2 linked regions of the Styela clava genome follow. The main gene of each other region encodes a partner of the protein of the gene in region 2 in a complex. Links are inferred from orthologs where the notes say so. Each region holds a gene or a part of one and is shown on either strand. Other genes may lie near its edges. The genes, in order: ADP-ribosylation factor-like protein 1 and uncharacterized protein LOC120335522.

Evidence for each region.
Region 1: the proteins of uncharacterized protein LOC120335522 (region 2) and ADP-ribosylation factor-like protein 1 are in contact, whole or in part, in a crystal structure (PDB 1UPT), measured with the Homo sapiens proteins. The link is inferred for Styela clava from reciprocal best matches to the Homo sapiens genes GOLGA4 and ARL1. Residues at the interface, in NP_002069.2 of Homo sapiens: Thr2173, Glu2174, Glu2176, Tyr2177, Lys2180, Val2181, Glu2184, Glu2190, Thr2193, Lys2196, Val2197, Thr2200, Val2201; in NP_001168.1 of Homo sapiens: Ile49, Gly50, Phe51, Gln64, Trp66, Ser73, Ile74, Pro76, Tyr77, Cys80, Tyr81, Ser83, Glu115.

Annotation. Positions count from the first base shown.
Region 1 is NC_135258.1:11,549,844-11,565,647, forward strand, and holds ADP-ribosylation factor-like protein 1, read right to left. Parts: upstream 7,755-15,804; 5' UTR 7,682-7,754; coding exon 7,139-7,681; downstream 1-7,138. Other genes in the region: 10 kDa heat shock protein, mitochondrial-like, read right to left, coding at 695-1,003; 26S proteasome non-ATPase regulatory subunit 6-like, read left to right, coding at 2,058-2,205, 2,701-2,906, 3,384-3,529, 3,822-4,041, 4,299-4,407, 4,575-4,743, 5,251-5,425; RWD domain-containing protein 3-like, read right to left, coding at 5,891-6,688; retinol dehydrogenase 12-like, read left to right, coding at 15,532-15,720. UniProt on the Homo sapiens protein: GTP-binding protein that recruits several effectors, such as golgins, arfaptins and Arf-GEFs to the trans-Golgi network, and modulates their functions at the Golgi complex.
Region 2 is NC_135251.1:16,295,332-16,312,980, forward strand, and holds the start of uncharacterized protein LOC120335522, read left to right. Parts: upstream 1-10,985; 5' UTR 10,986-11,034; coding exon 11,035-17,148; 3' UTR 17,149-17,649. Other genes in the region: uncharacterized protein LOC120335523, read left to right, coding at 3,437-4,557, 5,446-5,746; bifunctional peptidase and arginyl-hydroxylase JMJD5-like, read right to left, coding at 7,459-8,733; nudC domain-containing protein 2-like, read right to left, coding at 8,696-9,178. UniProt on the Homo sapiens protein: Involved in vesicular trafficking at the Golgi apparatus level. May play a role in delivery of transport vesicles containing GPI-linked proteins from the trans-Golgi network through its interaction with MACF1. Involved in endosome-to-Golgi trafficking.

The sequences.
Region 1 (15,804 bases), on a different chromosome or scaffold from region 2:
ATAATTCTAAGTGTCATCTTGTTGCAGTGATGTTTTGAGGCTCACATTTAATAAAAGTGTCTGGGCATTTTGAAAATAATTTAGTGAAAATGGATGCGTGGGTGGGTTCATGCTTAAGTTGGTCCTAATGATGTTCATTTGAGCATTCTTGCACACCATTGGCTCGCAATTATAACGAAAAAAGGTCTAGACCTGACATGGGCCAAATCCGGCCCGCCCGATGCTACGCAACGAAACTAAAACCAAATTTTGATCTTTTATCTGAAAAATAGCTCAAGGAACGTTTAGTTTTCGCAAAAGGCTTATTGTTTTCCTAATTTGCTTTTGTAACACTGTAAATATTCTTCAACTTTTCACATCACCCTTACATGGCTTGCCAGTCTAAGTGAGCAAAATTTTTGGTCCCTGGCCCACGCCTGTTCTAGACTGTCATATGTGCATATAGAAGACTTATTTCTAAAATGATACAAAATTTGCAACCGGCATCGTTAACTGTTCCCCGCAACATCAAGAATTGGTAGAAAGATTTAATGACCACAGCGGCAGTATACACACAAATGTATCAGCGAATTACGATAATATATTACAATAGGTAATTATTCAAAAACACTGCTGCTCTGCCAGTTTTTTTGCAACGATGGTAGCTCCAGACATGATTGGAAAATTTCAGTTTTTGCATGGGTAATAGCAGTTTTCAACTCTCAAATTTACCTAGAATATCTCCATCACGGAATAAATGGTATTCATCGTCATCAAGCAAGACTTTTGTGCCACCATATTCTGGAAGTAAAACACTATCACCAACGTCAACGCTCATTGGAATAAGTTTGCCATCTTTGTCTTTCGTGCCTGGACCTTTTGCAACCACTTTAGCTTGTAAAACTTTGCCAACAGATTTTTCAGGGAGAACAATTCCTCCTTTTGTCGTTAACTCTGGTGCACTTCGTTCAACCAACACTCTGTCAAATAGCGGCAGAAATTTCTTGAAAGCTTTTGCTGCCATTTTTGATTTTCTGAAAGATAAACGATAAGATAAGAAGTGCTGTGAAACCATATTTTATTAGGAGTGCCGAATCCTAAGTGTTCAGCACGTACTTCTTGGTCTTTTTTCATCAAATTCCTCCCTTCGCTTTTTTGGAACTCCTCATTCCCCTCTTGCTATGTACAAAAAATACTTTATTTATTCAATCTTTAATGAATCCTAGCTAGTACTATGCACAAGTAGCACCCCGCTTTTGTGTAATTTTAAAATGTGTACTTAAATAAGTAGTCTATTATAGTGAAAATAAAGAACTAAAATTGTTTACAGTATTAGTAATACTATGGCAAATACAAAGCCTACCATGAAACATACGGACATAACAAGTGATAGTTGGGCTAGGGAAATTTCTTTCTGTGGCCAATTGGCATAGTGCATTAGTTTTAACACCGGTTGAATTCATAAAATGATAGAGATGTGATTGCACTAAGTTAGAAGATTCAGAGGTCGTACGGTAAGACTGTAAGAGCCCTGATGCAGTGCTAGATCAAGAAGTCCCACGCAAAATTGCAGATGTATGTTTTAGTAACGGTACTGCTATGCTCAAAATAAAATCACTCATAAAAAACTCACCTCAACGTTAAACGCGATGCGGCAGGTCAAACACAACTCAACAGAAGAGGCGAAGAAATTTCCCGAAGCAAAACCACGCTCGATTTTCACCAGGGTTGCAACATGCGTTTCTGAAATGAAAAATAAACAACTTATTGTGACACCTAGTAACATACTACAACGAGAAGTGAATACTTTTGGGAAAATAAGTTTCAATATGTATGTAAATATTAAAATAAATGAATAAAAATATTTTAAAAGTGTTTCTTGAATAAAATATTGTGGTTACAGACATTAACATTAATTCATATGACGTAATAAATCCATCAAAATATCGCTTAATCATATTATATGAATCAGCTCATTTCTTGAGTTAGTGTGTGTTCGTCTTATTTGATCTATCTGTAGCGTTTCAGTTCAATCCGTCTTTATTTAGTTTCAGCATTTTATACATTTACATCACATAATGCCGGTTGAAAATTTAGAAGAAGAAGGTCTGAAAAAGATTCCAGACTTGGAAGTCGCGCAGTTGAAGTTCTTATTAACGTCGGACGATGAGGAAATCCAGCAAACAAAAATTAAAAAACAATTTATGGAAGCGATCGAAGCAAATGGCAAGTTTTAGAAGTTATTTTGCTAAAATTAGGATGAATTCCTCAAATTGGTTTTTAAGAAGAATTGGTGTTTCTATCTGAATATTATTGCATTTTATTACAGTATTATTGTTCTCAAACTCATGAAAACTCATTTATGATTTTATTTAAGATTTGTTTTAAGTTTGAGAAAACATGACGATTATACAGTTTAAGATTGATTGAATAATATATGAACAATGTGTTCATGAGTCGTGACAAGTTTGTATTATTAATGTTTGTATTGTATCAATGACCATTATTTAATCGAAATTCATTCTTTTCAAACTTGACGTTGGCCGACTTTAACTTCTTGTTTACTATGGTGCCAACCTAAATGTAGAATTACCTCCTATTCTGAAATAACAGTTTATACAGACCCATCTTTTCCAACCAACCAATAATCATCAATATGCTTGAATGATAATAAATTAATATGCCACAAGATGTGTAATTTAGACGTTTTCTTTTTTACAGAGATGGCACCCTATTATGAAATTGTTTGCAAAGAACTTGGAATGAAAATTAACAATACACTTTTAAAGAAATTGAAGGATACAAATGAGAAGACATTAAAAAAACTTGAAGATAAAATAACAGAAACTGAAGAAATGGAATATGAAAGTGAAGTCAGAGATGCTTTACTTGCAAAGGCTGAATATTTGTGCAAAATTGGTAACAAGGTAACAACAATTCCCTAGAATGTTTATTCATAACAGTCGACTGGGGCTGTGGATTTTGGGATCATTTTTGCCCGACTCAATTGAAAAACAAATCAGACTCTCGATTCCGAGTTGAAGAAAGTTTAAATTTTGATTATAATAACTTTGTCACATGCAAGCCTTCCTTGTCAACTTTATTCATTTTGATTATATGTTTGAAATCTGCAATCCAGATTCTGAAATATTCAATTGGATTCCGGATTCCGGGGGGTTTGAAAATGCGACTCCAATGTCAATAAAAACATGCAAAGTCAGGACTCTCACTTCCAATTAAGGTTTAGAAATGAGCTGTTCATCAATTCAATATAGCTTCTAAATGTTCTAATATTAGTCTACAATTTCATGATTTTCAACAATATGTAATAGCACAGTAAAGACATGCTCGTAAAAATTAGTCTTAATTACATATATTTATGCCTTTCCTCAAATAACTTTCAGGATGACGCTCTCGAAGTTTTCCAGAAAGCATATGATAAGACCATTGCACTTGGACACAAGCTTGACATCATTTTCTACAGAATTCGACTGGGATTGTTTTTTATGGATCATGATCTGATTACCAAGAGCATAGAGAAGGCAAAAATGTATGAAATATATTTGTTGTGCATTTTAGTTTAGAATTAAGCCCTTTGTGGCATGCACTATTTGTCCTTAGGTGATATATAATTTGGATTTTCTCTCGAAACAAAGCCATGTACAAGTAGCAAGTATCTAGCGATTCTGCCTTCATTTTTTACATCCTGGATTGGTAGACAGTGTGACCAGGGTACAGATGTCAACATTTTCACACCACGATACATCAATTTATTTCTGTTTATGATAAGTGTTTGTGATAACGATTGTTAACGATCTATACCAACTTTTATTGTTTTTCAGTTTAATAGAGGAAGGTGGTGATTGGGATCGGCGAAACAGACTAAAAGTTTATGAAGGTTTGTATTGTATTGCGATTCGAGATTTCAAGAAATCAGCAAATTTGTTTCTGGATACTGTATCAACATTCACATCCTATGAACTTATGGATTACAAATGCTTTGTCACATATGCTGTTTACATCAGTATGCTTGCTCTTGATAGAACCGAGTTAAGAGAAAAAGTGAGTTCTATTTAATGCACAACTTTACTACATTTTTTTACTACACAATTCAGTGATGATTTATCATTATGCGAAACTTAACTACAATTTACTTCAGTACATATTAACAACATATATTGATAACTCAATTCAAGCCTATAGTTAGGACATTGGGCCAAGTGTTGATAAGAGTAATTACTAGCAATTGAACCATCGTTTACCCTATTTTTGCAGGTTATAATCATATAACTGAACTAACTTTTCAAACATCAATTCAGGTTGTAAAAGGTTCAGAAATCTTGGAAGTTTTGCATAGCAATAAGGAATGCAGAAGTTACCTGTTCTCATTGTATGATTGTCATTATGCAGAGTTTTTCCAGCGTCTAGGTATGACTTAGAACGTGGAAAATTTGAATTCTTAATAATTGTTTTTCATTGGGTAATATAATACTCTGTGTGATGTGATTTTGGAATAAGGATGTAAATGTCTTAAATTCATTTCATATTATCTTTTTATTAAAGAAGTGAAATTTATTTATTTTTGAATATTACAGCTCAAGTTGAGGTGGAAATGAAGAGAGATAGATTGCTGAATCCTCATTATAGATACTACACTCGTGAGATGAGAATACTTGCTTATACACAACTCCTTGAATCATATCGTAGTCTTACATTAGAATATATGGCTGAAGCATTTGGAGTTACTGTTGAATTCATTGATAGGTATGTTTACCTGAATCATTATATTAGCTATGGGGTGAACTTTGTACCATCAATGGGAAGCTACCAGATGTGGATATTGTTATTACTTTGCATACGAGAAAAATTTCTTCTTGATCTTCCATTTAGAAATTGGAATGTCGCTAACTAAGGGCTTAAGTACTTGAAAATTTTCAATCCTTGTCTGTCTGAATTGAGTCTTGGACTCTGCTTTTGATTCGAATACGAGCAACAGAAATGTGGACAATTTGCATTGCCTGATGAGTAAATGAATATCACTATCAATCGAGTATATCAGTTTAGTATGAATTGTATTCGGCATCTGAACTGCTAACTCCCATTCACGCAATTCACTTGTCCTTCCAAAAGAATATCTACATCTATATAGTCTCACGAGCCCTCTGATACTTTGCTCAGAGATCGGCGTCCTCTGTTTCCGAGTGAGTGTGACCTTGATACGATCAACCTAATTCTTGCAAATAAAAAAAAAATCTCATCTCGTTTACACAGGGAGTTGTCAAGATTCATAGCTGTTGGGAGACTGCATTGCAAAATTGATAAGGTCGGTGGGATCGTTGAGACCAACAGACCTGATAGCAAGAACTGGCAATATCAGGAGACAATAAAGAAAGGAGACTTGCTGCTAAACAGAGTTCAAAAACTATCAAGAGTCATCAATATCTAATTATACTCTTTATTTCGTATGATAGAAACAATTCTTGTGTCCATAATGTACCATGTTGTATATATAAAATTTCAAACAAATGTGCAGTGGTGGTAAAAATACACATTCTGTGAGTGGCAAATTCAGTGGAGATAATAAGAGAGCTATGCGGTAGCAGGCTAAAACAAGCCAATCCCTTAGATGAAAAAATGACGAGCCACCATTTACAATAAATACCAAACGGGTTCCTTAGAAATATAGTAAAAACAGCCAAAGCAAGTGTATGAACATTGTGAAACTAATATTGGATATTATACCCATAAGATTTTCAAAACAGATAAAATGTGGTTTTCTAGTATGTGACGAGAATAGAATACAGCAACAAATTTTAATGTGTAATGTGAACATAGCATGTGTTTGGCCTTATTTTTACAACCAATTAGCACATTCTATTGTTCACAGCCATGAATGAATTTAAATGAACTCTTACGCACGAGTAAGCAATGGTCTAAGTATGTCATACAACATGGACGTGAATCCTTCACTAAACAGGCTTTCCACCTCGTTTATTTCGGACAGTTCATGAACATGGAAGCCCTCAAATGGTACAAGGTCGTCTTCATAAGAATCTCTTAATAAAATAGTCATGAGCCGTTCTTTACAAGCATGACCAGCTGAATCAATATCAACTTTTTGAGTTCGCATCTTTTTTAAATATTCTTTAATATCATTCTTGTTACCGTACAAGATTATAAAAATGAGATGCTTGTAAAATAAAACAACACCCTGGACTTGTAATCGAGTTGCCCATTTTTGTAACGTTTTTAGATAATTGTTTTTTGAGCGCATATGATCAAGCTGTATCACACAAATTTCCTTCGTTTTATTCTTAGCAAGACTTCCTTCATCTCCGCAACCCTGAAGTCTATTCGAATTTACACCAGAAGCAAATTTTGCCACGTTATCTTTAATCCACAATATAAGGTCTAATAACATTTGACTGTTCAAAAGATTATTCTCTGTCGCAAACTTGGACATCTCGCTGTTCAGTCCAGAGGAAGATTCTCTTGTCAGCATTGGTGAATCAATTGTCACATGTGGCACAACTTCTGGATATTTGTGAGATATATAAAAAGTAATTCTGAGTTGTTGACAATTCTCCTCCGCGTGTGTCAAATTGAGTTTAAACGATTTAGATAAAGAGCTTTCCAGATCATTAGCTTCAAACTCTCCTTGCTGACAATAAATAGACTTCACGGCTTCAATTTCATCCAGAATGGACATAGTGGTATCGTAAAAATTTAAGATAGACTATTCACAAACAAATATATAATACAAATACATATATACAATACATCAGACTAAATATAAACAAATTCCAGGATCAAAAATGAAAATACATGACTATGCTAGCGAATTAACCAATTTCTTAAATTTTAGTCTGTTTTTTGGAATATTTCCATAACACAAATCATTTAAAAAAAGCTAGGCTAATTATGAGTGGCAATTTCATCATAATGGTTATTGATAGAATGTTTGGTTTTAAGAAAGCGCGGACCATGCATGAAGTTCAGTGAGGTTTATTTCCTGGAGAGCGTACAAACTATTGCTGTCTCTTTTCAGCTTGTATATTGGTCCGACTGTTGCGGATTGTGATCTAACTAGCACAGCATTAATTCATTAGCTTTTTATATAAGCTATTATATTGAAGAAAATTATATTAAATAGATATTCCTAATTTGATTGAAGTGTAGACACAAGCCATTCCATTGCTGTGTCTAGTCCAATATTTTTCAATGCGGATGTTTTGAAAATTTGCCATTTCCTATCTCTCAGTTTAGAAAGTCCGAGCTCTTGTGCAATCTCTGCTGGTGACATAGCTTGTTCACAGTCTTGTTTATTGGCAAATACTAACAGCAGTGATTTTTTCAATTCTTCTTCTTCCAGCATACTTATTAATTCTTGTTTTGATATGCCGATTCGTTCTCGATCAACGCTATCCACAACATATATTATAGCATCTGTGTTGCTGTAATAACATCTCCAATAGGGACGAATGCTGGTCTGACCGCCCAAATCCCAGACTTGAAATTTGAGATTCTTGTAAACAACTGTTTCTACATTGAAACCTATTGTAGGAATTGTTGTGACTACTTCTCCAACTTGTAACCTATATAGAATTGTAGTTTTCCCAGCACCATCCAAACCCAGGATAAGAATTCGACGCTCCTTTTGTCCAAACAGTGATGAAAATAATGAAGCAAACAGATTCCCCATGATATAATTGACTGTTTAATAAATTCCTTTATGACGCATATATATATATATATATTGAATTTATCTATGTAAAATGAATTCAAGGATTAAATATTATATTGATGTGCTCTCTTAATAAAATAAGTTGCCGATAGATACATGAATGCTCAAACATATGGAAACAATGGTATGAAATGGTGAAGTCCGAGAGCCCTCAACTTGATGAAACGATCGACAGGCGGTCCAGCAATACTGGATACAAAGTGTTCCCGTTTTATTAAAAAGAATCCAAAATTGGTATTCGAAACTTTAAACAGTTTAGATTATAAATACAAAAATACCCTTCCTAAATGCTGATATGATTACCTTCATATTTGTGTTATACCAGTGGTACCTAAAAATTGTACTTTCAGTGTTGTTAAAACTTAAAGCAACATTACCACAACGAAAAGCTAGAATCTGACAAAGGGTAACCAAGTAGGTCAGGGATGTCTGGTGGAAATTACTACAGTACTAGCGTGAATTTGCCACATGACTGTATCTGTATGAAAGGACTTAAACTGAATCTATGTCGTATCCAAGAAATTGCAGGCGTTTGTAACTTCAGAACTATAGACTATAACTGCAAGTATCATAACTAACGTTACAGTACTGAATACGAAATACTGAAAAACTGTAACCTCGGAACGTCTCAGTCAGCTGCAACGCAAGCAGAAACAGAAACCGTGGTGAAATTGCTTCAGTGTCGGTTAATCGAGCGTAACACAAGCCTTCCACGTCATGAGTACAGTTACGACAAATCCGTTTGCCAGTTGGCAAAGCGGCCTGCAGAATTCGGTAACAGGAAATAACCTTAATTAATATAATGGATTTTGCTGCTGGACGTAAAGATAGTACCGGTAACTAAATAGTAAACGTCAGCTTTCAACCGAATATAAGACATTTACATCATAAAACTCATATACTTATACTCAATTCACTGTCAGACCAGAGACAATGCATGTAAAATCTATGGTTAGACGTTGTCATCCATAGCATCGAATATGGCCCACGAAGATGATGGAGCCGCAAGTTGCACTGATAATGTGAAAACAAGCTCTTTAGTTTTGTTTCCAGCTTTTATTTGCAATTGCCGACAATAACTTCACACTTATTTTTCACTCGTGAGATAAAAGATCGCACTATCGTCTGCTTGAAAGGACTAGAGAATGCTACGCGCTGTATGTTTCGGTATTTGTATCGGGTAATATCAACATGAGCAAAGCCCATCCACCGGAATTAAAAAAAGTTTATGGATAAAAATTTGGATTCAAAGTTAAATGGTGGACGATCTGTTACGGATATATTGCTAGGTTTCGATCCTTTTATGAATCTAGTTGTGGATGATGGAACAGAGCGCAGAAAAGATGGGACCACTGCACCTGTTGGAATGGTGGTCGTTCGTGGAAATTCGATATCAATGTTGGAAGCATTGGAACGGATACAATGATTTTATATTGAACTATTCGAAAACGACAAGAGAACCCGATACACCAATCCATGATTTGTGCATAGACTGCTATGGAACATTCAATCTATTTACCGAGCTTGTTTTTTTTAGTACAATTTTTTGTCACTGTGTCATTTTTTTTGCAATGAAATTGAACTAGGCCTACAGCATCACCATTTTACGTCAGCGAGTGTTTTTAATTCCATAGTTTTGTAGGAAGAGCACTGTTGTGTTACACATACACGTTTCACATTTCAAATTTAATCTAAGAGTATTGCCCGATTTTATATCGTGTTTTTGTTTTATTGTGTTTTGACTGTTTTTGGTGGACGGGCACGTACTTGTACGTTTTTAACTTTTTTAATAAGTTATGCTCGTCCTCCAGGTCCTCTGTATTTTGTTTGTCCGTTTGTTGTTGGTTTGTGTTTTGTTTCTATCAGAGTGACCAAATAAAATTGATTGATTGACTATGTGTAAACAAAAGCAAGGGGATATCTGGTGAAAACTGCTGAAAATAACGACCCGTTAAATATTTTGCAAGCCCTGATAATTACAAACTATAGAGTCGTTTGTTGTATATTATCTCAGGGCTTCTCAAACTAGGGGCCGCGGCCCTGGAAGAGGCCGCGAAACGAATTCTAGGGGCCGCAAGGAGAACACCAATTTTACAAAGTACTAAATCTTTTGCACTTTTTCAGACTCTTGATTCAAAATACAGTTATTAAAAATAGTGTAAAACAATAATTTCGCGATTTCGAGTTAAGACATCTTCATACCATGTTTCCCCGAAAATAGGAAATTGTCTCCAATTTTCTTTCTATCGACTAAGACAGGGGTGGGCAACCGCTGGCCTTCGGCACGCGATCCCATTTATTCGACACGCGAGCGAGGCCTCGGAAAGGGGATAATTCTTCTTCAGATAAATAGTTTCAAGACGATGAATTATTTGATGAAACTAGGTGTTCATTTATTCATTCATCTTCTTCAGATAAATAGTTTCAAGACTCCGAATTATTTGATAAAACTAGGTGTTCATTTATTCATCATCGGTTGTCAACAATCCGTTATTCATTTGAACTCTTTTTGCCCTTTCATGAAATATGGCTACAAAGAAATAAATTATGACATAACAAATGAGAGAGCTTTCGCGAAATTTTGTCGAGAACGAGAAGAGCGCAGCGTTCATTTGGATACATTCTTACTATAACGGCTCAGCACCATACGATGGCGATGTGCTCGTTAGGGTGATTGGAATAAATAGATCGTACAGGCACTTTATATTTGATGACGCGGTTCTGTCTGAGTTCCTTTCAAAGTTCGAAACGATTGTCCAAAGATGTTTATTGTTGAGTCAAAATAGTAGTCAAATAATGATGAAATAGTTGTCAAACAGTAATCCGGTAAAATACAGTGCTATTACACAGGAGGGACCAATAATAACTATACGAAACAGGGAAATAGAATTATATGATGTAAATTTAACCTACGCCTAATTAATAATACCAAAAGCCCCCCGATTGATTAAGATACAAATTTATACGTCCTACCTCCAAGCGGCTCACGCCGAAAGAGATCCCGCCAACACCAAAATGGTCGGGGTTCAATGCCCTAAGTTACAGTTGCCAGTTTAGTTACAATAATAGCGGTCACCGTTTAGAATCATGGCTGCTACACTTACGTAATATAGTTTGTATGTACCACCCTTTTTCGTCCTTTCTGTTTGATTTATGAAGTTGTACAGCACATGTTGGTTATAGTTACTTGGTCACTTACTGTTATAAATTGATTTCAAGAGAAATATTGGCGATTAGGGAAGGGAATAGAATAGAGAAGTGCAAAAAACGAACTTGTGTGACTGGGATTTTTTCGTGTCTGAAAAACTTTGCAACTGCAATACTCCATGTTTTCATCTACATATGCTTGTGAATCTCTGTTCTTAGTTATGAACTTTATCAAGTCTCGTAACAGTTCGTGTATTTCTTTGAAAGTTAATAATTTTAACCCAATGTAAAATTTCTATCAGCGGTAATGCAGCAGCAGAAGTCTCACTGATATAGAATAAGAAAAGTAAACAAGTCTATTTGTCGGAATGGTATTTTCCCGAGTAGTCAATCGGTCTGTATATGTTTAAAAGGTGAATTAATGTGTATTTTTGCTTTGAAAGTAGCGAAGCATTGTTTTTAATTTTGGTCGGCACGCGGAAGAATTTTGTCGTTAAATTCAGCCGATTTTGGCACGCGAGCCGAAAAAGGTTGCCCACCCCTGAACTAGGACTTAGTGGTTCTCGAACTTCATTGTATTGTGACGCCCTCCAAAAATATGCTCAAGTTGCGACTTCCGCTGCCAAGGTTTAGAAATGAACTTGTCGAACATCGTGTGTCTTGACTGAAAAGCGATCCTACAATAACTTTTGCAGTATACGAAGGTTTTCTTTATCGCTGCATGAGTATAGTATGATAAATTTTATTCGCAACGATATAGCAGTTGCATCAGAATGTCCAATTTTTCCAATATATACTGAAGTTTGAGCGGTCATGTAACATTTATGGTTTGGGAATAGATAATACATTGATACTAGACATTTTTTGTGAAATTTTCAACACTTATATACGGCTAAAAAATAAGGGAGGTTTTGGATCTGAATTGTATGATTTGAATAAAACTTAAATAAATGATGAAACATTTACTCCGGGTACACTTACATAATCGAATTAACAAATTAAATCGGACATGAAAAATACAAATTTTTGCGACGATTTTTAAGAATTCGTCGAAATAACCGATCTTATGGGCAGCGGCGTTTTTTTGGATGTGTGCGTGCAGTTATCTATATATTCAGTACTCGTTCGTTTTTTTCGCAAGACGTTATTACCGATCAATCGATTGCGAGCTATTTTGACGATTTTAGTCGATCGCGGTCGAAAACAGGTTGGACACCCGACCGCCCATGAACTATAAACCAACAAACAAAATCTAACAACAGTCAGTGAAATCAAACGTAATGAGCCATGGTAGAGAATCCTGCTTACATAAATGCGAAATTGCAAAGGGGATAGTTTGCGAAACGCGTTTTTGAACCAAGGAAAAATCATATTTATCTACAGAAAACCGAATTTTCAGAATTGAACTTATTTATTATAACACATTTAAGAAACGTTTCGACGCCCTAACAGAATTCAAACTAAATGCAGGCTACTTAATATCTTATTTCAAATGCATGAACGTGAAATTTAGCTTTTATTCATTTCATATTTATTTATTCACACATTTCCAGAGCGAAGATTACAAAGGGGTTATAGTCCGGCAGAATCGGGCCTTAACATTGTTTTGGGACATGATATTTTTTTTATTGTTTGGATAAATATATATTTATGATATTTAAATTAAATATAGATATATATATATATATGTCGATGACATAAATAATGATACCCAGGTGGGTGTGGAGTATATAATGTTGAGCAATTTTTTCTAAGTGGATTTTAAGTATTCGTACCAAGATGATGCACATCCTGAAACCTAACCTGGACACGTACAATGTTCAGTTTGTGCGCCATCCTGGTACGAATACTTCGGGAGCACCTTTTTGTTAAAAACAATTATTTCATTACTACATGGGTTAGTTTTGAATATATAATAACATTGAATCTTCTTACAATGTCAGAAATTTTAGTAGAATAAATGGTAGTTTATTTCACTAATATAAGCCAAGATCCATCGCCAGCATCTAGCCACTTTCTTTTGCGCTCTTCAAACTACATTTGTGTTGCCGCGGGCATTTCGTTTTCCTGCTTAAAGCTTAGGGACGTGGAAAATATTTTATTAGTTGAAATGAATTGGAATTATCGACCACGTCTTTCACTCCGAACAAGGCCATGTAAAACCGTTAACTGGTATCTAACGATAGGTAACGTGTTTTCTTTTGGAAGAACCGGAATCTTTCAGGTGCAGCATTGACTTTGGCCAAATTAATATATCCTTGTGGAGATAGAAGGTATGCGTATGCAAAACCGAGATGTGCACCTGTTATGCCAACATAATTGTTGATCACTATAGTAGATCACACACATTTCCTGCGTGCTTCGGTTGTATGTAGTAACGCGCACATTTTTGCGAACATGCATCAAATTCCACTTGTTTATTGAGCTATAGGTTTTTGACGAGCCTTTGTGTATGATTTTATTCCATATAATTTGTATGCTGTTCTAAAAAATACTAGTTTCAGTTTTTTCATTCATTCAAACCGCGTGTTGGAAGAAAGTTTGGTATTATTGCGTGTTGGTTTTCAACTGGTTTGTTTATATCTATCATTTGACATCCTTAAATCGGTGAAGCCAGTAAATCTTTAATACAAAAAGATCAGTATTATCTACAATAAAAACAGCAGTACCCACTCAAATGACAGCTGGGGGATGGATACTCATATTATCTGCTCCATCGCGTGCCTCTTACCAGTTTACATGGGTGCTAAGTGGTATCTAAGCTCAGCCAGAGACAAAAAGTTTCGGACTGCGGTTGGCGTGACGAAACGTTTTTGAATATATATTCTAAAATAAGATTATTTGATTGCATATTACTGAAAGTTACGCCTTATATGTCTTTTCCCATTGCACTATTCCTTTACTGATATTCGATAATATGACGCTCATCTGACATAGTTTTTGTGTAGTAATGTGTAGATAGGTTTAATCTTTTTCACGCTTTTCAGATGGGAATGCACGAATATATCTAAAAATCGCTAATATTGGTTTGCAATGCAATGAAATCCCATTCTGGCATTTCTGCCTCTCGCAATTGCTGCGTATATTTATCGGAGAAGTTCTGTGGTGTGGTTATTAAAGGAATAAAACAAAAGAAAGGGAGTATTTTTCTACTTCTCTACTACTCTCAAACCTTAACATTTTGTGAACAATTTTTTCCCTTTACCTTTCTTTAAAACATCCCTAACAACTACAATTAATTTTCTCATCAAACTTCCGAAACGAACACATAAAATCATCAACAGATGCATATCGTCAAGTCCTAATAAGTAGATTGCTAAATTGATCTTTATTTTACCATTTTTCATGTAATGCTTTTTGGTAAACCTGTTATCTATCGTATATACAGCACATTTGAATATGTTGTAGTGTAACTTTTTTGGCCTCACATTTTTAATATATATTTGTAGTTAGATCTCTTGCATGGGGCTCTGTCAAACAAAGTTACATACAAAATATTGGCTGTAAGAAACATGATCATTTTGTTGGAATACCTTGGCATTTTACCACCCGTATATCATTCGTTGTCGAGAATATCAATGAAATCATAAAATCTAAAACCCGTTTTTGTGAATTTTTTGTTGTAGCTGAATTCGAGGGACAGCATGACAACAGGCAAGAGAAGCACGGTCGACTCTTTTAGTTTATAGGGTTTCCTAAAAGGGGATCCCGGCCTCCTTGGAGGCCACTGATCGGTTGTCTAGGAGCACGGAAAAACAGATAAAAATGCGAATATATAATAACAATGTATTTTTATAGAAGAGAAGAATCAAAAGTGTTGAGAGTCTTTGGTAGTTTGAAAAGCATTGGCATGGAACAAAAGAATACATTCTTTCTCAGGGATATACTATAAAATGTAGCAATTTTCTCATTTTTGTTCTCGTGATTGCATTACCTTTTAATGCATCGTTGTGATCATCCCGCTGCATAACAATCCTTGCTAGCAAATAATTGACTGTTCTCCGCCGGGTGTATATCCACTTGAACCACTGCCGACTGCATTAGCGGGCTTGTATTGTTAATTGCAACATGCTTTGAAATAGTACTCTTTATTTTACGCGTATGTTTCAACAGTATTTCCATATATATGGGTGCGACTCAAAGCTGAGTTCAAAAAATACCTAAAAGTTATTGATTTTCATTTTCTGGTACATTTGTTGCTTCCGTAGTTTGTGCACCAAGATGGCGCACAAACTGTATTGCAACAGGTTAGGGTTCAGGTTGTGCGCCATTATGGTGCACCGATTTAACGAAAAACACTAATACAAATATGCAAACTCATGTAGAAATGATGGGCAATGACCCCAAGATGAATAATCACAAATAAAAAAAAACTTTATGTCTGGAAACAAGGTTGCACCCAAAAAGGCCCCTTATCTGCCGGACTATAATTACTTTTGAATTTAAAGACCAAAATTATTTCAAATTCACTATTCTAGAACTGAAAATGCATTGCAAAGCTTGGTTATGTGGAGAGTAAACATTTAAAGAAATATATTTGCTTTCACCTGAGATCAACAAACATATTCTAGTATGGAGAAACTATCACTCAATATGCTAACCTTACTTGCTGTGTCATTTTAATGCATTGCTTTTGCGCTGCGAACTCGTGTGCAGTCACGATGGCACAAACTAAAATTGTAAGAAAAGGATGGGTGACAAAAGAATTGGAAATCGAAGGAAAAACGGTTTTAATCACCGGTGCTAACACGGGCATCGGGTTCAGTACAGCACTTAATCTTGCAAAACGTAAAGCAAAAGTTATAATTGCTTGCAGAAATTTAGAAAAAGCAGAATCAGCCAGGCAAAAAGTGAGTCTTGCTTTGTTTGTTTTAATTTCCAATCATGCTTCTCTTTGGTATTTTGACTATCCTACGCTGTTTGTGAGAATTTTA
Region 2 (17,649 bases):
TTTCCCAACCATTGTTGGTCGCGGACTATTTTCTCATCGGTGAAAACCTTTGCGGACACAATGTGCGTTTATTGCAACCGTAACGAATTTCGAAATCAGAAATTTGCCGCAGTTACGCGTTTGTTAAGAGAGCCGACTTTTTTAGTGTGTAATGGCCTTTTCTGTCGCACAATATTCAATCCGTGACAATGACGAGAATTTAAAATGTCTTTCTTTTTTAACTTAATTGTGTTCATGGTAACTCGCGGTTGCGTCGACTTACGATAAGATGAAAGCATTACTTCTTTAAAATAGAACGACAATCTGCAAACATAATAATGTGAGAATATATTGCCCGATTGTATTTAGTTTTGATACATACTTTTTGCGATCTTGCGAATTTGTTATCGCCGTTAGAAAAATCCTACTATCTGCAATAAGTTTCCAGAAAGTACCACTTGATTTAGTACTTATAAAAAATATTATTTAAATTCTATTAGTAAATCAAAAATACATAATCATCGCATTGCTTTATTATTGATTTAATTGGGACCATATTAATCTGCGGTTGTGTTGACGAAATAAAATCAATAATACTCAGATAATATCATGGCAATCCGTGGACACAATAATGCGTGGTGAAGTGCCCAATTATATTTTGTTTTGGTTCGTATTTTTGTAAATTCGACAAATCTGATATGTTCGTACAACGCCTATGGCGCCACTGTACGTACTTATGTACGCTACTATACGTACCAATAGGAAGGCAATAAAGCAAAGAAACTCAAGGAAAAATGCTCCTATACTACGATCGCACCAGAAATTTTGCGATTTGCAATGTCTAAAAAAGCGATTTAAATTTGGTCGGTTTTATTTTTATTATTGCCGCTTTTTAAATTGGAAAACTTGGGTTGCCACCATTGACACGTATCAGAAAAATAATTTATTCCTCGTTGTTCGAACTCGCAAGAAACACCACTTGGTAGAAGCGTGTACAGACTCGTGTTTTCGTCGGAAACTTGCCAGTGAGTTGTGAACTCCGATCGTTTGATTAAGCGACGCGCAAGTGACCTGTTGCTGTCCCTTGTTACCAAATTTTCGCATAGTTAATTCTTATTCTAATAGTTGAATATTCGAATATATTACCAGCCCTAATTGACTCGAATAATGATATGCGAATTAACTTGCATAAACCAGACATCGCTAGAGGACCTGAACTAAAGGACAAAGTTGAAAACCTAAAAATACGCGCCCGTCCACCAAACACAGTCAAATAACACAATAAAATAAAAATACGCGATACAGAATCAGGCAATACCTTCAATAAATCTATTCAATTATGCAAATACTGATCAGAATGTGAACAGGGCAACACTTTATAAGAAATAAAAAATTGATAGTTTTTTTGTTGTCACGGTTGTGACGTTTTATGTAAATTTTAACGTAACTCGACATTTGGCTGATTGTTCAGTTTCGCAAAGACGTTTGCGGCCCGCAGTGAATTTCTGGCTCGTTGCGGACTCATTCAAATGCTCCGCGGACTCATTTGAGAGCGCGAACTCTGGTTGGGAAACACTGGCTTAGCACGATGAGCCACACCGCCGCGCCAGAATAAGAATGAATATATTCTCATTTTTTTATTATTATTAAAAACATTAATTTCTATAGACAAAATACCACATAAATAAAATTGCACTTAAAATAAAAATACGAGTTCGTGATAATTTTTTTTTTCCATATAGACTGTCAGTTTACCATTTTGCAATATTTTTTTTGAGTAATAATTAATTGTTTCCACGAAAAAGATTAGGTCTGATTTCAATTTTCTTCCGAAAAATAAAACTAGGGCTTATTTTTGGGGGATGTCTTTTATTTTAATTTATTAAAAACAAAATTACAACGTAGAGAAATACGAAATTTTCAAATATACAAAATATAAAAACCGATATGCATTTACCAATAAATAACACGTTTTTATTAAGAATAACTGCAAAACATAGATTATTATCAACCATTTAAAACGTGTAGGGGAGATTTTTTGCTATCGACTAGGTAAAAGCAAAAAATTTTGGTTATTGACTAGGTCTTATTTTAAGGGGAGGACTCATATTAAAATCATTTTCGGAATTGAGGCTGGGTCTTGTTTTCGGGGAAACACGGTAGTTATTTTTTTAGTATTTTTATCATATATGAAAATTGAAAAAATTGTGGCCTTCCATTATGTTTTTTTAAATTTAAATTTTCAAATTTTAATTTTTTGAATATCTCGCACGTAATATATTCTTACGGGTAGTGCGGAAAAATTCCTGATGGGTTATTCCAGTTCAGATGAAAAACATATCTTCGATTTGTAATACTTATATTTATTTATTATTTGCTCTTATCACATTTATTTTTGTAGATGATCAAATTGAAAGAAAAGTGATGTTCTCATTTGATTCCGGTATTTACAAAAAACTGGAACGGGATCATATAATCAGCAGCTCCGCCCCCTTTTTTGTTTGGCCATAGCAACTTCTTGGGCAACTTGTTATGATAACGCTTTTTCACTGGAGGCGGCAGAGGGAATCGGCGTTCTGTATTGCTGATTTATTCCCGTTGCCTGCGTTCAAGGTGTAGGGTAGACTCGAGTCTGTTAGTTTTGCATCCCAGATTTGAAAGCACACGGAAAAGAGAAAGAATATTAGAATTAGACTGCTTGAAAAAGCTTCGAATACCATTCACAAAGCTAGAAGGTTTTGTACAATTATGAATGTAGGTGTAAATCGGTCTTTCATAAATATGTAAATCTTATCCTAACTGCAGAACTGTGCCATACCGTACTGTTATAGCATTCTTATTAAATATATTGCATTGAATAATTTATATTTATCCTTAAATCAAAACTATATCAATAAATTCACTGGATTATTTATAACATAGGTATTATTCTCAACAATGCTTTGAGAGGAACTGCTATTATCTCCCTGTTCCTTTTGATTTGTTATTCATATTCTGTGGTGTTATTATGGTTCTTAATATAATTTATTGCTTCAATGTTATCAGCAGTCTTCTAAACGTGTTATGGAAGCAATTTGTTTCTTATTCATTCATGAAATAATACTTTAAATACGTATAGATGGAATTCGTTATTAAACAAATTCAGAAATTGTGCAAAATTCATATGGGAAAAAGTTGTTCCAGTAATGAAGTTAGAGAATAATAGTTTGTGCCCTTTAACATTGAACGATCAAGGATACAGAATAAGTAATACTTAAATAAAAGTGGTTTCCATCTCACCTGCCTAAGTAGATACGAATCTGTTAAATGCAAAGAAGAATTGGACACTACTGTGAAATATTAGTTTAAACCAAATGGCTGCTCACTTTTACCTGTGTTATTAAGTTTTTTTAACCAATTGATACCCATTGTGTTTTTAGCCATGTAAGTAACAAGTAAATTTTATTCATATCTGAACATGACATCAAGTTCCGAGTCCTCACCTGATGATACACCTCGTCCATCAAAGTTTGAAGACTTTGATTTTTTCGATTCTGACAAAGATGTAGGAGATGAGAAAAAAGTATCTAATACATCAAAATGGAGCGCAAAAACAGTAAATTCTTCTGAAAGAAATCTGCATGATGAACTTCATGGCAGTGGCATGAAGAATGATCAACTTGGTATGGGTGACCTGCATAAAAGTTATGATTTATCTGAATCTGAACATAAAACAAGTAAAACTTATACTTCAAGTACAAAGGTACAGATCAAACAAATTTCTCAAACGACTACCAATTCTAAACGAAAACCTAAAGAACAGTTAACCGTCCATGTTCCAGTTCAAGCGTCAATGAATAAGTATAATTCCTCGTCGAGTGACGACGATTCCTCAGGTTCTGTGACAGATGTTTCTCCCTTGCCATCACCAGATATTACACCGAGACCACGTACAATTCCCCATGATGAAGAAAGTTCACCAAACAAAAGAAACAAAATGAAAAAAGAAACTAAAACGAAATTCACAATTAAAGAAAGTGGTATTGAAGATGGGGAACGTCCTCATGCTCGTCGCGCGAATGGAGAAACTTTATCTGTTGAAGATATTTTTTATTCTAGTGACGGCACCCCTTTAAGCAGTGGTGAAAGAGATACTCAAGCCATAAGAAGAAAACGAGTTCAGCGTAAAAAAAGGAGTCGCTATGAGGAAATTCAACAAAGGATGGAGGCGTCATCTCGTCATCATCGGAGGAGATTATTAGATGTCGCAGCAGAAAATTCTATGGATTTAAGTCAATTACTGGAAGTGGTTTTAGAGATGGAGCAAGAAGAGAAAGCCAGGAGGATGTATCAAAGCCACAAAGCATCTAAAAGTGTTTTACCTCCCCCTTTGAAACCATCTCATAGAAAAAACATGTCCTTCTCCAATCAACAAGTTCGTGATATCGACTATGAAAATCAAAGATTGCTTCAGCGTTTAGCCCAACTTAACACTCGACAACGGCCATCTAGTGCTTCTAGTGTGAGATCATCTGCATCTTCTTATAGAAGTAATGCAAGCACAAGTAGAAGCAACAGAAGACCAGCAACAGCAAGGAGGTGGGTATGAGAAACGATCCATATGATATGGATCTTTCATTGTAATTTAAAGTATTTGTATTAAGCCAACACTGCGGAATATATCTACTTTTTGGGGTTATAAAACTTGGGATGGGTGTATCACCTTAACTCATGCCATGTACTCGAAAGAAATTGGATAGTCACCGAATTTGAAAAATTTTGGTATTCCCTGATACCCTAAATTGCAGTAACCACCGCTATTGCAGGACCTTGCTTGAAGCAAGGTGTTGGAGCACTCCATGAAGAATAATACCGTCATTATGCATTTCCAATCAGAGATAACCAAAACTGAATATTTACTATGATGAATACACTGTAAAGTATCATAGTATTTCTGAATAATTTCACTAAAGAACTCATAGAAGTCCATGTAAATTAAACAGTGATTTGATTGGTTCACTTTTTTTTTAGTTTTCTAAAATTAAATGAGGGCAATTTTGGTCATAACTTTGAGATTTTGAATTTAATTATATTAGAATATTTCTGCGGTATCGATATCAGCATTTCTGAGAGTCCGATATATTACGAGTGTTTTAAATTGATCGAAAATCAATTCAATTGGCGCCCGAATTACGGTGATTTGATATAACATTGAAAGGCATCCTCAAATGTCTTTTTTAAAAAATCATTTGCTACTGATGCCTTGAATTATTATGAACTAAATATTGTATATAAAGCCTCGTAATCTGACAAATATTATTTTATATATTCATTTGCGGCAGTATAACTCTCTATTGAACGTTCTATTTGAGCAAGTTTGTATCAGCAAACTATCTTACGATTGGATAATTCAATATCTGTATGATTTTTTTTTTTTTATATAATTTTTTTTGCAATATGTACCTAATACAAATCATGCATTAACAGACCATCCCCGGCACAAGGACCAAGGGTATATCACTCAGCTACAAACAGGATTCGTGACCAACAAAGGATTGAAAGAGAGAACCTGACAATTCTGAAAAGACTGCAATCAACAAAAGCAACTGGCATTCTCAAAAGGGAAAATTTATTACGGGATTATGAGAGACAAACTGGTAGACCGGTTGAACCGGGACGACAGCGCAGAAGACCGAGATCTGGTCAAACAAGACAAGGGGATTATGAAAATGGGTCTATGCAATTTTCGCAAAGGAAGGCAAAACCAGTTTGGCAAGATTCTTGGTGAACATTAACTGTTAATCTTGTTGAATCGAGCTTTTAAATAGGTATATGTCTAGTAATATGGAAGTTCCCAATTTCTTACAAATCAAATTACTGGTGTTATCATCTCCCGTTTAATGATCATGATAGATATTATCATTTTGTATTTTTAACATGCTGTTTTTAAATGGCCTCGTAAACAAACCCTCTCCCAAATGTGAAAAATTTGCTAGAATCAGATTACCTGACAAGCATGTGGTGTACAGACAAGAGGATAATAATGTCATTCAAATATATTATGTATAATTTTAAATAAAGAGCATCTTTCACTTAGTTGATAATACCAATTCAAAATCATAGGCAGCGATAAGTTTTATCATTTTTTTTGTATAATCAATTGAAAAGTCTTTTTTATTCCAATATTAGAGTAGAATAATAAACTCTGTTTTCCATTTTTTCACATTTTAATTGCTTTCGCATTGCATTTTTGTTTCTTCCAACTTTTATTTCGGTAACATGCAACACCAAATTAAATGACAAGAAAATGGAATTTTCTATTCGATGGATTGATATGTGTTTGACAATAGTTAAAAGTGATCTATTTACCTAGCAAAATGTTTTTATACCAATGCACTATGACTATATGAATCTGAATATCTACAAAAATGCTACCGGAACAATATGAAAAATTCATGACTACATTTTTTCTATCCTTAATTTTACAAAATTCTATTCAGGCATTCCCCATTATACTGAGAGATATTTGGAGCTTTATAATGTTCATAATTTTGGCAGATTCATTGAAATTTTCGAAGCCACCACCAGATAAGGAGTTTACATCCCTGAGAGCTGTAAATAATTTTCTGCATGCACTGTGTAATGGAGCAAAAGTAATATATTTTATTTGTTATAGTGATCTTCATAAACTAGTTGTTTAAATAAAACAAAATCACAGATTGTGAATAGTGGTTATCTCTTCTGCAAAGGAATTAGAATGGTATGATAATTGCTAAGGTTACGACTTCTTCTTCATTTATAAACAGGCTTGTAGTGCGTTAGAGGTAGCCTCGTCATGACGTTTTTGCTGGTATTTCACTGCAAACTGTTTTCTTAAATGTTTTCTTAAAGAAGTATATGCCAAGTCCACGGGTCTCGGTATCCTGAATCTCCTTGTTACATATTCACAGGCAACTAAATAGTACAATTGTTGAGATTATATTTATTAGTAGTTCAACATGTATGATAAAATAGGCACAATGTATTGTTAAAAAGGTGGCATATTGTTAAAGGAAAACTGCATTCATCACTCTATAAAACCAGACAGTAACTACTGACAAGAAAGAACAATAACACAATTTGACGGGAAATTCTATCATTCATTAGTATTCAACACGTTCAGTATCCATATGAAGTCTCAGACGAATTTGAAAGTCAAATTGATATCGTTGACCTTGCATATATTGATTTTTTTTAAATTGGTACATTACATGCGGTGCTTCAAAATGGCCACTGCTACCTGTGACAGGTAAATGTTGCTACATATACCATTGAATCTGTGTGCAAAATAATTCATAATATTTTGTTTGTGCTAGATATGCCTTTGTTAATTTGGAAAATGAATATAAATATTCAAGCCAAATTGACATAATGGGTGTAGGAGTGATGCCACTAAACCCCAGTCAGAATCCAGAAGCATAATATTCAATATAATCTACAAACAAGTTTTATTTATAAACATTAATTCCACCAGAAACTTACAGAAAAGCTTTTATCTAGCGATCTAACATAATGCCAGTAACCAGGAGGTATATAAAGCATCTGGCCAGGCAGTAAAATACATTCTTCCCTATGATTACGATCCATTTCAGTAAAAAGTGGAAAATTTGTATCATCTGGCTTTTCAACATCAACTTTTGATGTGTTGTTTAACATTCCCTCATGGGGGTAGAGAGCATTCTCATGTGAAGGATGATATAACCGTACATATTTACGTCCCGCAACTTGACATAACAGATTGTGTTTTTTGTCATAATGACATGGTGAAACAGTGCCACCAGGTCCAAACCAAGCATTTATTTCGGTATCAGTATCAGGGTCCCAATCTGGCATTTTTGAAATACAGCAATAATCTGGAATACATATGTCATTTCTAAGCAGTGGGATTTGATCAAAAAGTGTATGTTGTGCTAAATACGCTTTTGATGTACAATCATCATTAAATATATATTTTTGAATGAAATTTGAAATAGTCATTAATTTTTGACCCCAACTTTCATCAGTGTATTTAGCACCAAGTTCTACAGGTACAAGTCGGTGTCCTGCAATATTGTTAAGATACTGAAAATTCCATTTAGCCATAGCAGGCCAATGATCAATGCAATCGCTAAGCACCATGGGAAGAGCATGGTTCATAAAATCTTGGAAAGAAATTAAAGATGGATTTGATAAGACTTTTATTGGATTATGTACTTCTGGATCTAGTTCATAATTTTCAGTGTTTTGGGTCTCAATATATTTCGGTTGGGCAGGTTTAAAAATTTTAATAATTTTGTGTAATATACCATTCATTACATTATGGCCCATTAGCAAGCCCATGTCAGAGACTCTACAAATTTCTATCAAATCGTCATCTGTTGTGGCATTATAGCCCAAACACGAAGCTTTGAAGACACAAGCAAATGAATATAGTTTTTGCCACACAAGCGGGACATTTTTCCAATGAAAAGAATTCAACTTTTCCCATGTTAAGTCTAGTATCATTTCTGCATTGTCAAGACATTTTTCAATATTGTTTTCATATAATAATGTGCAACATTCTTTTAAAATGAATAATGAGACATTGTCAATCTTATTGCAACATACATGGAGACATTGTACTATTGTATGCTCCATTTCTGAGTCTGTGCTAGGTAATGTTTGCTTAAGTTCAGATTTGCGAGTAGTAAAATGTAGTATTGCTTTCGGAGATTCAAGGTTAATACTCTTTTCTGAGGTCAAGAGTTGGTCCACCATCTTCATAATTCCCTGTGATCTCAGCGTTACTGAAATCGAATCCTGGATTTTCGAGTTCAAATCTTTCGAGAGTCAAATTTTTTTGCATTTGATCTTTCGTTAAAGGGTCTACAGCAAATTCTCCACCCTCAAATAATGATGGCCAAAAACAATTTTCTTTCTTGCGACTGCGTTTCACAAGCAATATTCGGATTAATTTTTGATCTTCCACACTCCAAGTTGATTCGTCCACCAATATTCCTTGCGGTAGGGGGCTGTTAAATAATTCCTTCCCCCTCACAACGCAAGATAAATGCTGGGGTTCAATCACCACATTTACTTCTTTCCCCCTTGTCCCTTTCTCAACATCAACAACAACAACCACGTCCTGCACAGTTTGATACCAATTACCCCAGGGAGTCTTGCAACATGCAACACCGCTTCTTTCGTCGAAATCGCTATTCATTTCAAAATGTAACTCCAAGTAAACGGAAAATTCTACGAGAATAAACCGCTCAACTAGTAGCAATCGCAACCATGTAACAAATGCTTTTCACCGAATAGGCTATGATGAACTTATGCTAAAATCATGGTTAATTAACCATGCTAAAATCAATCCTCCACACAAGAGTTCCAGTGGTGGATAAGATTCTATGCGGAACGTCACCAATCTTCCGTAATTAGTGGGCAAGAATTTCCATTTTTCTAAATGTATTTTACAATCTGAGATTTCATTTTTCTTGTATTAACAATTGTGTAAATATATTTTTTGGCTACTACACGTTTTCTTGGATTGCATGATGTAACTACGGTATTTATTTCCGCTCAATCAATGACTATTACATGCTACTGAAAATTTGCATCGTAATTTCACTGCGACGTGTTAATGTTATCGTCATCTTGAATGTGTTATAAGTTAGATCTAGGCTATATGATATCTCGTTTTCTCTGTTTTACTGAAATTGTTTTCGATTTATATTTAGTCTACTGGGTACCGGTAAGCTGGCAAGGGCGACAGGTTCGCCATATGGTTAAGCCGTCTTATCGACTTTCCTCTTCCCGGGATAAATATGCAAATCTGCTCAGTTCAGCAGTTGGATGGCATTTTAGATTCATATGATAGGCGCTCCATAGTTATGTAATGTACGGTAACTATATAATATAAGTAGGCCTACTGTTGTCATGAATCTCATAATTTACTGTGATAAATATTTTTTCAACGTGCAATAGTGAAATAGATGGACAGATTTGACAATTTTTGATACTCCAAACTCCAAAGTTTACTCTTTGTGCAGTCAATAATTTATTGCTAGAATAGAAATGGTTTCTGGATTATCGTAATTTAGTTCTGTAGTTTTGTTCCATCTTTGTCAAAAGTTCGTTAATAGGCTAATTCATATCTGCTTTAATTTATATATGTCTATTCCTGTACTGTTGTAGAAATATTTTTGTATAGAGTTGCAATGCAGTTCTAATTAGTTCTCATTTAAATCCTTGTCCGAATTTATGTTTATATCTCATAAAAGCGCCATGTGTACTCTTCTTTTTCTTCAATCAAATTAACTTAATAAATAAATTATATTACTGTTGTATCGTTACCTCCCAGTCATACTGTGAACTTTTGTTCCACTTATTTTGTTATTGAAATTTTTTATATTATGTGTTTTGTTTGACGAAATAATAAATTCTCTCTTTTTTTATCACTGACTTATACTCCTGTGCTTACTCATCTGTAATTATTTACAGACTTTTTGATCCACAGACGTTTCGCCCCCTCAGACCATTCCAATCACTAGATGGCATATGGCGATTTGAGTTATGACTTTGACATGGCAGTTTTTTTAAATTATATTAAATAAACACTCAAATATTTTAAGATTTAAGTGATTAAGGATATTTATCCACCACATTAGTGCCATATATGGGCAACCTGTGGCTTCTGTACAACCTTAACCCTGTAACCCCCTACCCATGCCCAAATTTCCTATGAATCCACATGTATTTTTAGGCAACTCCAATGCCAATGTATTATTAACAAAAAGATTAACTCAAACTGTCTTATTTGGCAGAAAAGTCTGTTGGGTGAAAAGTCTGTTTATCCCCTCACATATAATCACCTCCCATGGGATTTGAACCTGTTCAGGGTAATCAGAGATGCGATGGCTTACCATGATGCACCGACTGCCGAGCTGATTCTATTTTAATCCTAGTGGATAGGCAGATTTTGCATATGTTAACTATTGCATCGGGAAATCCTCAAGTCCTACAATTAATTACAACTGATTTCCCAAATTAATATTTGCAGATAATTTGGTTGTAATCATGTTTAAAAACTTGAAACAGAAAGTATCTACTGATCAAAAAGTTCGAACTCCACAGTCTGCCAATCGGGGTGATGCTTCAAGCACACCCACTGGTCGTACTGGAACATCTAGATTGCCACGACCATCCAATTCAGCGCCACCCAGGCGATCCAATTCTGAGAGTTTGAATGGTGCCAATGGTGCAGCTACTAAACAAAATAATGAATCCATGGAATCACCAGATATTGTACAACAGGTGGGAAATATATCAGGTGATGTTTCTCCCAATCCTTCAAATCATGGAGAAACGGATCAAGCACAAAAAAGTGCTCAGATAGCTACTGAAGCTGAGAAAAAAGTTCCATTTTTCAAGAGACTAGAATTTTTGACTCCTCTTAAAGATCAAGTTGCAAATAAACTTTCGGAAAGTAAGGAATCAATCAGTTCTCTCGTTGACGAAGTTCGTGGCAATGTAACAGGTTCTTCCAATGAACGATCTAAACCGGATATTGTTGCACAAACTAACGATCGTCGGCGAAGTGATTCCATTTCAGATACAGAAGAAATATCAATGAATCGGAATGCTATTGATGTAAGTGCAATTCCCAAAGAACAACTATTTGCAAAAGTAATGAGACTGGAGAAAACTCTTCTTAAATATAGAGAAAGATATGCAGAACTTGCTTCTAATTTTCGTGAGGCGAAACAAGAAAGAGAAAAGTTGCAATCAGTTATGCAACAGACCCAAGATAAAAATCTACGCAGAATTCAGGAACTCAAAGAAGCCGCAGCGTTGGATTTGAAAGCCAAAATGCATCTCGAAGAGGAGTTTCGAGTTTCTCTGGAAGAAAAAGATCAAATGATACAAGTGCTTCATACTCAAGTTGCAATTCTTAAAGATGATCCGCAGAAGTCTCCACCACCAGTACAAACTGAAACTGCTCAAGGCCAGGGAGATGATTCAAAGCTTCAAAAAAGGGTCAAAACCTTAGAAGAACAACTCAAATTTGCTAAAGATACTTGTGAAGGTCTAAGAAGCCAAGGTGATGCTTTACAAGAACAACTTAGTGAGCGATTAGAAGAATTAGAAAACCTGAAAGATTCGAACGTTGCGGAAAAGTCGAAACTTATCAAACAATTGCGTGAAGCAAAAAACGTTATTGAGAAAATTGAAGAGGACAAAGTCACTGCTGTTGCAGAGGCCAAACGACAAATGCATGAGATTCTTGAAGGTAAAGATATCGAAGTAGAATCCTTACATCAACAAGTCAAGAAACTGCAAATTGATCTTGATGAATTTAAAATGAAGAAAGAGCAACGGGAAAATTCTTTGTTGGAGGAACTTCAAAAGGCAGTTACTATTGGTAGAACAGCAGAAGCTCAAAGAGCTGATGCTTTATTGAAAACTGAAACTATACAGAAAGAAATGGAAGGCAGAATTACAAAGATTGAAGAAGAATTTGATGCGGAAAGAAAAACTTATGTTTCTGAGGTTTCACATGCAAAAGCTGATAATCTTGATATTAATGAGAAACTTGAAAATGTAATGAAAAAACACAAAAGTGATTTAGAGGCTCATACAAAAATGCATGAAGTTGCATTGCAAGAACAAGCAAAGAAATATAAACTGGAATTGGATGAAAAAGAGAATCAAATGAGATTAGCAATTGAGGAGAGAGAGCTGAATAAAATGGCTGCAGTCTCACAACAAGACACTGAAGCTCAGAATTTGTTGAAACAACTAGATACAGAGTTGGAGAATGTTCGTCAAAAAGTGGAAGAGCTTGAAAAGGCAAGAGTGGATGAGGCCAACAAACATGAAGAGGAAATTACCATTCTAAAAGACAATTTTCAAAAGGCGAGTGAAGAACATAAATTCGAACTTGACAGCCTTAAAAAATATCATGATGATCATATGACTTCGAAGGCTCAAGAGTTTTTAGAAAAATTCACAAATCAAAAGAAAAAGTTTGAAAACAAACTTCAAACAAAAGAATTGACATGGACTGAAAAGTTAGCAGAAGCTGAGAAATCATACTTACAAGAAGTTGACGATTTGAAAACACAAGTAAATGAACAAGGTAAAGAGAGGAACGAACTTTTTCAGCAACAAGCAGAGAAGGTTTCCCAACTCGAAAAAGAAGTCACTCTGTTGAATTGTGATAGGGAAGCCTTAAGTATCAAATTTTCGCAAATAGAATCTAAACTTTTTGAAAGAGATACACAATTGAAGGATTCTTTAAACGAATTAGAAGAAATCAAAAACAGTGCAACTAAAGAAAAAGAAGATTTGAATTCGAATATTGAAGCAAAAGATAACATAATTAAAGAACTAAACAGTAAAATGGAAAACTTGCAGCAGGACTTTTCACAGAAAGAACAAGAAAGCTTACAGCAGAATGAAGTTTCTCATGGAGAACTTGAAACGTTGCAGGAAAATCTGAAAAATTTACAATCTCAGAAACAGGAACTTGAACAAGCTTGCAATGCTGCTGAAGAGAAATTGAAACAAAGAGAACAGACAATGAAAAAACATGTCTTGGATATGGAGGAAAGCCATAAATCTGCAATCGGTGATTTATCATCACAGTTAGATAAAGAAAAACAGGAATCTGTGGTGAAAATTGCTACTTTAGAAAAAGAGAAATTGGATCTTCAGAAATTACAAGAAGAAACAAATAAGAAATTTCTTGAAGCTGGTGGAAGATTAAAAGCACTTGCCCAAAAATTTAAAGCCACTGTTAAAGAAAACCAGACGACTGTGACAGAGAAAGAATCTATGATTGAGAAGTCTAAAACGGAATTAAATGAAATCAAAATAAAATTAGAACAACTGGAAGGACAAAATAGAAAAATGGTTGAAAATCATGAAATGCGATTGAAAACAATGGAGTCTGAATGGGAAAACAAACTGAAAAATGAATTAGAAGGCTTGAAGGAGAAATCTGAAAAAGAATATGATGCGTTAAAAGAATCAATGATAAACACTCACAATCAAGATTTAGAATCATTGAGGAATAGTTTGAACAATGCTTTTGATGAGAACAAAAGTCATTTAGTGGAAGAATTAACGAACAAATTCAATACTGAAAAGCAAGAATTATTAACTGAACAGAGGAAGAAACTTGACACTGAAATGAGGAATTTAGAGATGAGGCTGCAAAGCGAAACATCTGATGCCACTGACAAAGAAAAATCTCTTCTACAGTCCCTTCAAGAATGCCATGAAAAAATTACTGATCTCGAAAACGAGCAATCACAAAAATGTAAAGAACTTTCTGAAGCCCATGAGAATTTGGCATGTCTCCAAGCAGATTATAAAACAAGTACTGAAAAGTTTCAGAGTAATGAGATTGAAGTAACGAATCTAAAACAGAAAGTAGATGCTGCTGAAGCTGAGCTTTCCCAATTTAGAAAGTTAAACTCTGATAAAGAATCTCAAGTTGAACAATTGATGAAGGATCTTGATATATCTAATGATAACTTAACTCAGTTACAAAGTGAAATAAAAAATCTTCAACAGCAATTAGAAGACAAATCTAATGAAGAAAAGAAAGTTGCTACTGAATTGGATGCCAAGATTTCAGAATTTAATAAACTGACGGAAAATTTCAGTGCTCAGTCTATTCAGTTAAAAGAAGTTCATGCCAAAATTTCAGAAAATGACAAGTTTTTAGAAAGCTTAAAATCAGAAAATAAAGTACATTCAGGTAAATTTGAAGCTCTGACGAAAGAGCATGCTGCTGCTTTGGAAAAGCAGAATAGTGATTGGCAAACAAAATATACTGAATTGAAATCTAAAGCCGAACAAAAAATAGCACAACAACACTCTCATCTCAAAAATGCCAAAGCTGAATTAACATCACAGCTAGAAACAATCCACAAACTTGGTGAGGAAAAGGCCTCTGCTGAAAAAAATATTCAACACCTTACTGACAGTGCAAAGCTTGTACAAGAAAATTTAACCCTTTTGGAACAAAAGCTTCAAGAGACTGAAAGTAAACTTATTGAACAGCAAAAATTTTCTGAGAAAGTTAAAAAGGATGCAGAAATTGCAGAACATTCGAAAAAAGACATTGTGGATGATTTGCAACTACAAATAAAAAACATTATGGAATCTTCTAAAAAACAAAGTCGAAATTATGATGAAATGATCAAGAAATTGGAAGAGGATGTAAATGAAAAGAATGAAAAAATTATGGAATTTGAAAAAGAAATTGAAAGTTTGAATTTGAAGCTTTCGGATGTCAATTCTTCATTTGATGGTTCACAAGTTCAGTTGAAGGAGAGAGATTCAACAATTTCTGATTTAAATGAAAAGCTGGAAAACATGAAATTAGAAATTGAAACTAAAACTGAAGACCTTGAAAACTGGAAAAAAGAAAAATTGGAAAACGATTCTTCAATGAAACTAACGCAAGCGGAAAACAACGAAATGGCAAAATCTTTAGAAAAAGTCAAAAAAGAACTTGCAGAAAAGGATGCCATTGTTGTTGAGAAAACAATACACTTGGAAAAAGAATCTAAAGAACAACTAGAAGCTCAAACTACGAAATTAAACCAAGAACATCAAAAGAAAATGGCAGATTTGAAAAAGAAAGCTGAAGTTAGACTCGCTCAAATTAAAAATACTTTTACTTCCCAATTAGAAGAAAAACTGAAATTAATTTCTCAGTTAGAAGATGACAAGAGTTCTTTGGAAGAGCAAATGGTGCAAGCCTTAGAAGAAGCTAATAAAACCAAAGAAACTGCTATTACTGAGAACAAAACATTGTTGACTGAATTTGAAAGCTTGAAAAACCAATTTGAACAATTACAAAGTGAAAAACAAGAAATGCTTTCGGCATGGGAAAAAGAAAAATTGGAAATTGAAGCTAGAATCAAAGAGGAATCTGATAAAAATATTGTCAATATGATGGAGGAAGAAAAATTAAAGTACGAGGATGAACAAGCTCAACTTGCCGAAGTGAAAGATCGACTTGAACAAGTACTTCAAGAGGCAAAGCTAAAATTGCAAGAAACAGAAAAGAAAATGGATGAAGAAAAAGATCGATCGGAAATGGCACTACAGGAAGAAAAAGAAAGGAGATTGCAGAGTGAAACACAATTGTTGGTAGCAAAAGAAGATTTTGCAAACGAAATAGAGAATTTGAAAAATAAACAAAACTTATCAGATGCTAAAATTCTTTCCCTTGAAGAAAGTTTAAAGAATATGCAAGAGACTATTGACAGCACGGAAAGAGAAAATTTGAATATGATATCAGCTCTTGAAGCCCAATTAGATGCTGCTAGAAAAAGAAGTGAAAAGTTGGAGAATGATAGAGAAACTGTAAAGCAAAATTTAAATGATACAATTGAAGATTATGAGAGGAAAATGCAGTCATTACGAGATGAAATCAGTTCATCGCAAAAACAAATGGAGGTTTTGTCTAAAACTTCAGTTGAAGATAAAGATGTGGAAGTTGAAAGAAAATTAGGAAACTTAAAAGAGGATTTTGAAAGAAGGTTGCGAGAGAAAGATGAAGAAACAACAAAGAAGATCAAGAAAATGATGACTGAATATGAAACGCAAATTCAGAAAAATAACGAGAGTTTCGACTCAAAACTTGAAAAAATGAAGAAAAAAAATTTATCATTTGAAGATTCAGTGCGATCTGATCATCACAAGGAACTAGTTTTTCTGCAAAGAGAAATTCAAGGAAAAGAAGAGAAAATGGAAGAAGTTGTCGAAAAGTACGAGTCAGAAATGCATGAAATGGAAAAAAATATGTCCGAACAAGTTGATAAAGCCATGTATCGTGCTATGACTGCTGAAAAAAAATTACAAAGTGCAGACATGGAGCAAGAAAATGAAAATTTGAAAAAACAACTAGCGGAAGTGAATAAAATTCTTGCTGATACGCAACAGAGGGAACGCGAAAATGAAATGATGCTTCAGTCGTTCCAAGCGAGAGTGTCACTTGCCACACCTCTCGCCGATCCAGATAAACTTGAATATCTAAGGAGGATTTTGTATGAATATATTATGGGAAATGAATGTGGGACTATGGCAAAAGTTTTAATACTTCTACTGCAATTTAATGAACTTGAATCACAACAAATTCTCGAAAAACATGGCTTAGCACAGAAATAACGCTATAGATTGGGGTACAAGACTTTAAGAATTTTCGTGAATGTGTCTCACTGTTTTTATCATATAATATATATACCGTACATCATATATGTTTTTTTTTTTGATACATTCAGGTATGGACCACCAACTATTTTATCACAAAATTTATTTACTTTGTGAAATAAATCGCATTCATTGAACAAAATTGTCTTTGCTAAAATATGTGTTTATAAATTGAAAGCAAGTCTATAATATTATTCGAAAATTCTAAAACTGATTATATCTCTCATTAGTTTTATAGTTTAATGAAACATGTTTCAATTCTATTCTGCGATATACCTATACGGTGCTATTTAGGTTGCTTGGTAGAAAGTATTGTTTTGGTACATCTACCATATTGTTTGGTATATTGCATTTTCACACTTGTGCTCATGTTATTCTTTTCATACCTGAATTTGGATTTCTTGTTATATTGATTTGTTATTCCATAAGCATTATTAATATGTGTGATGTTCATGTCCC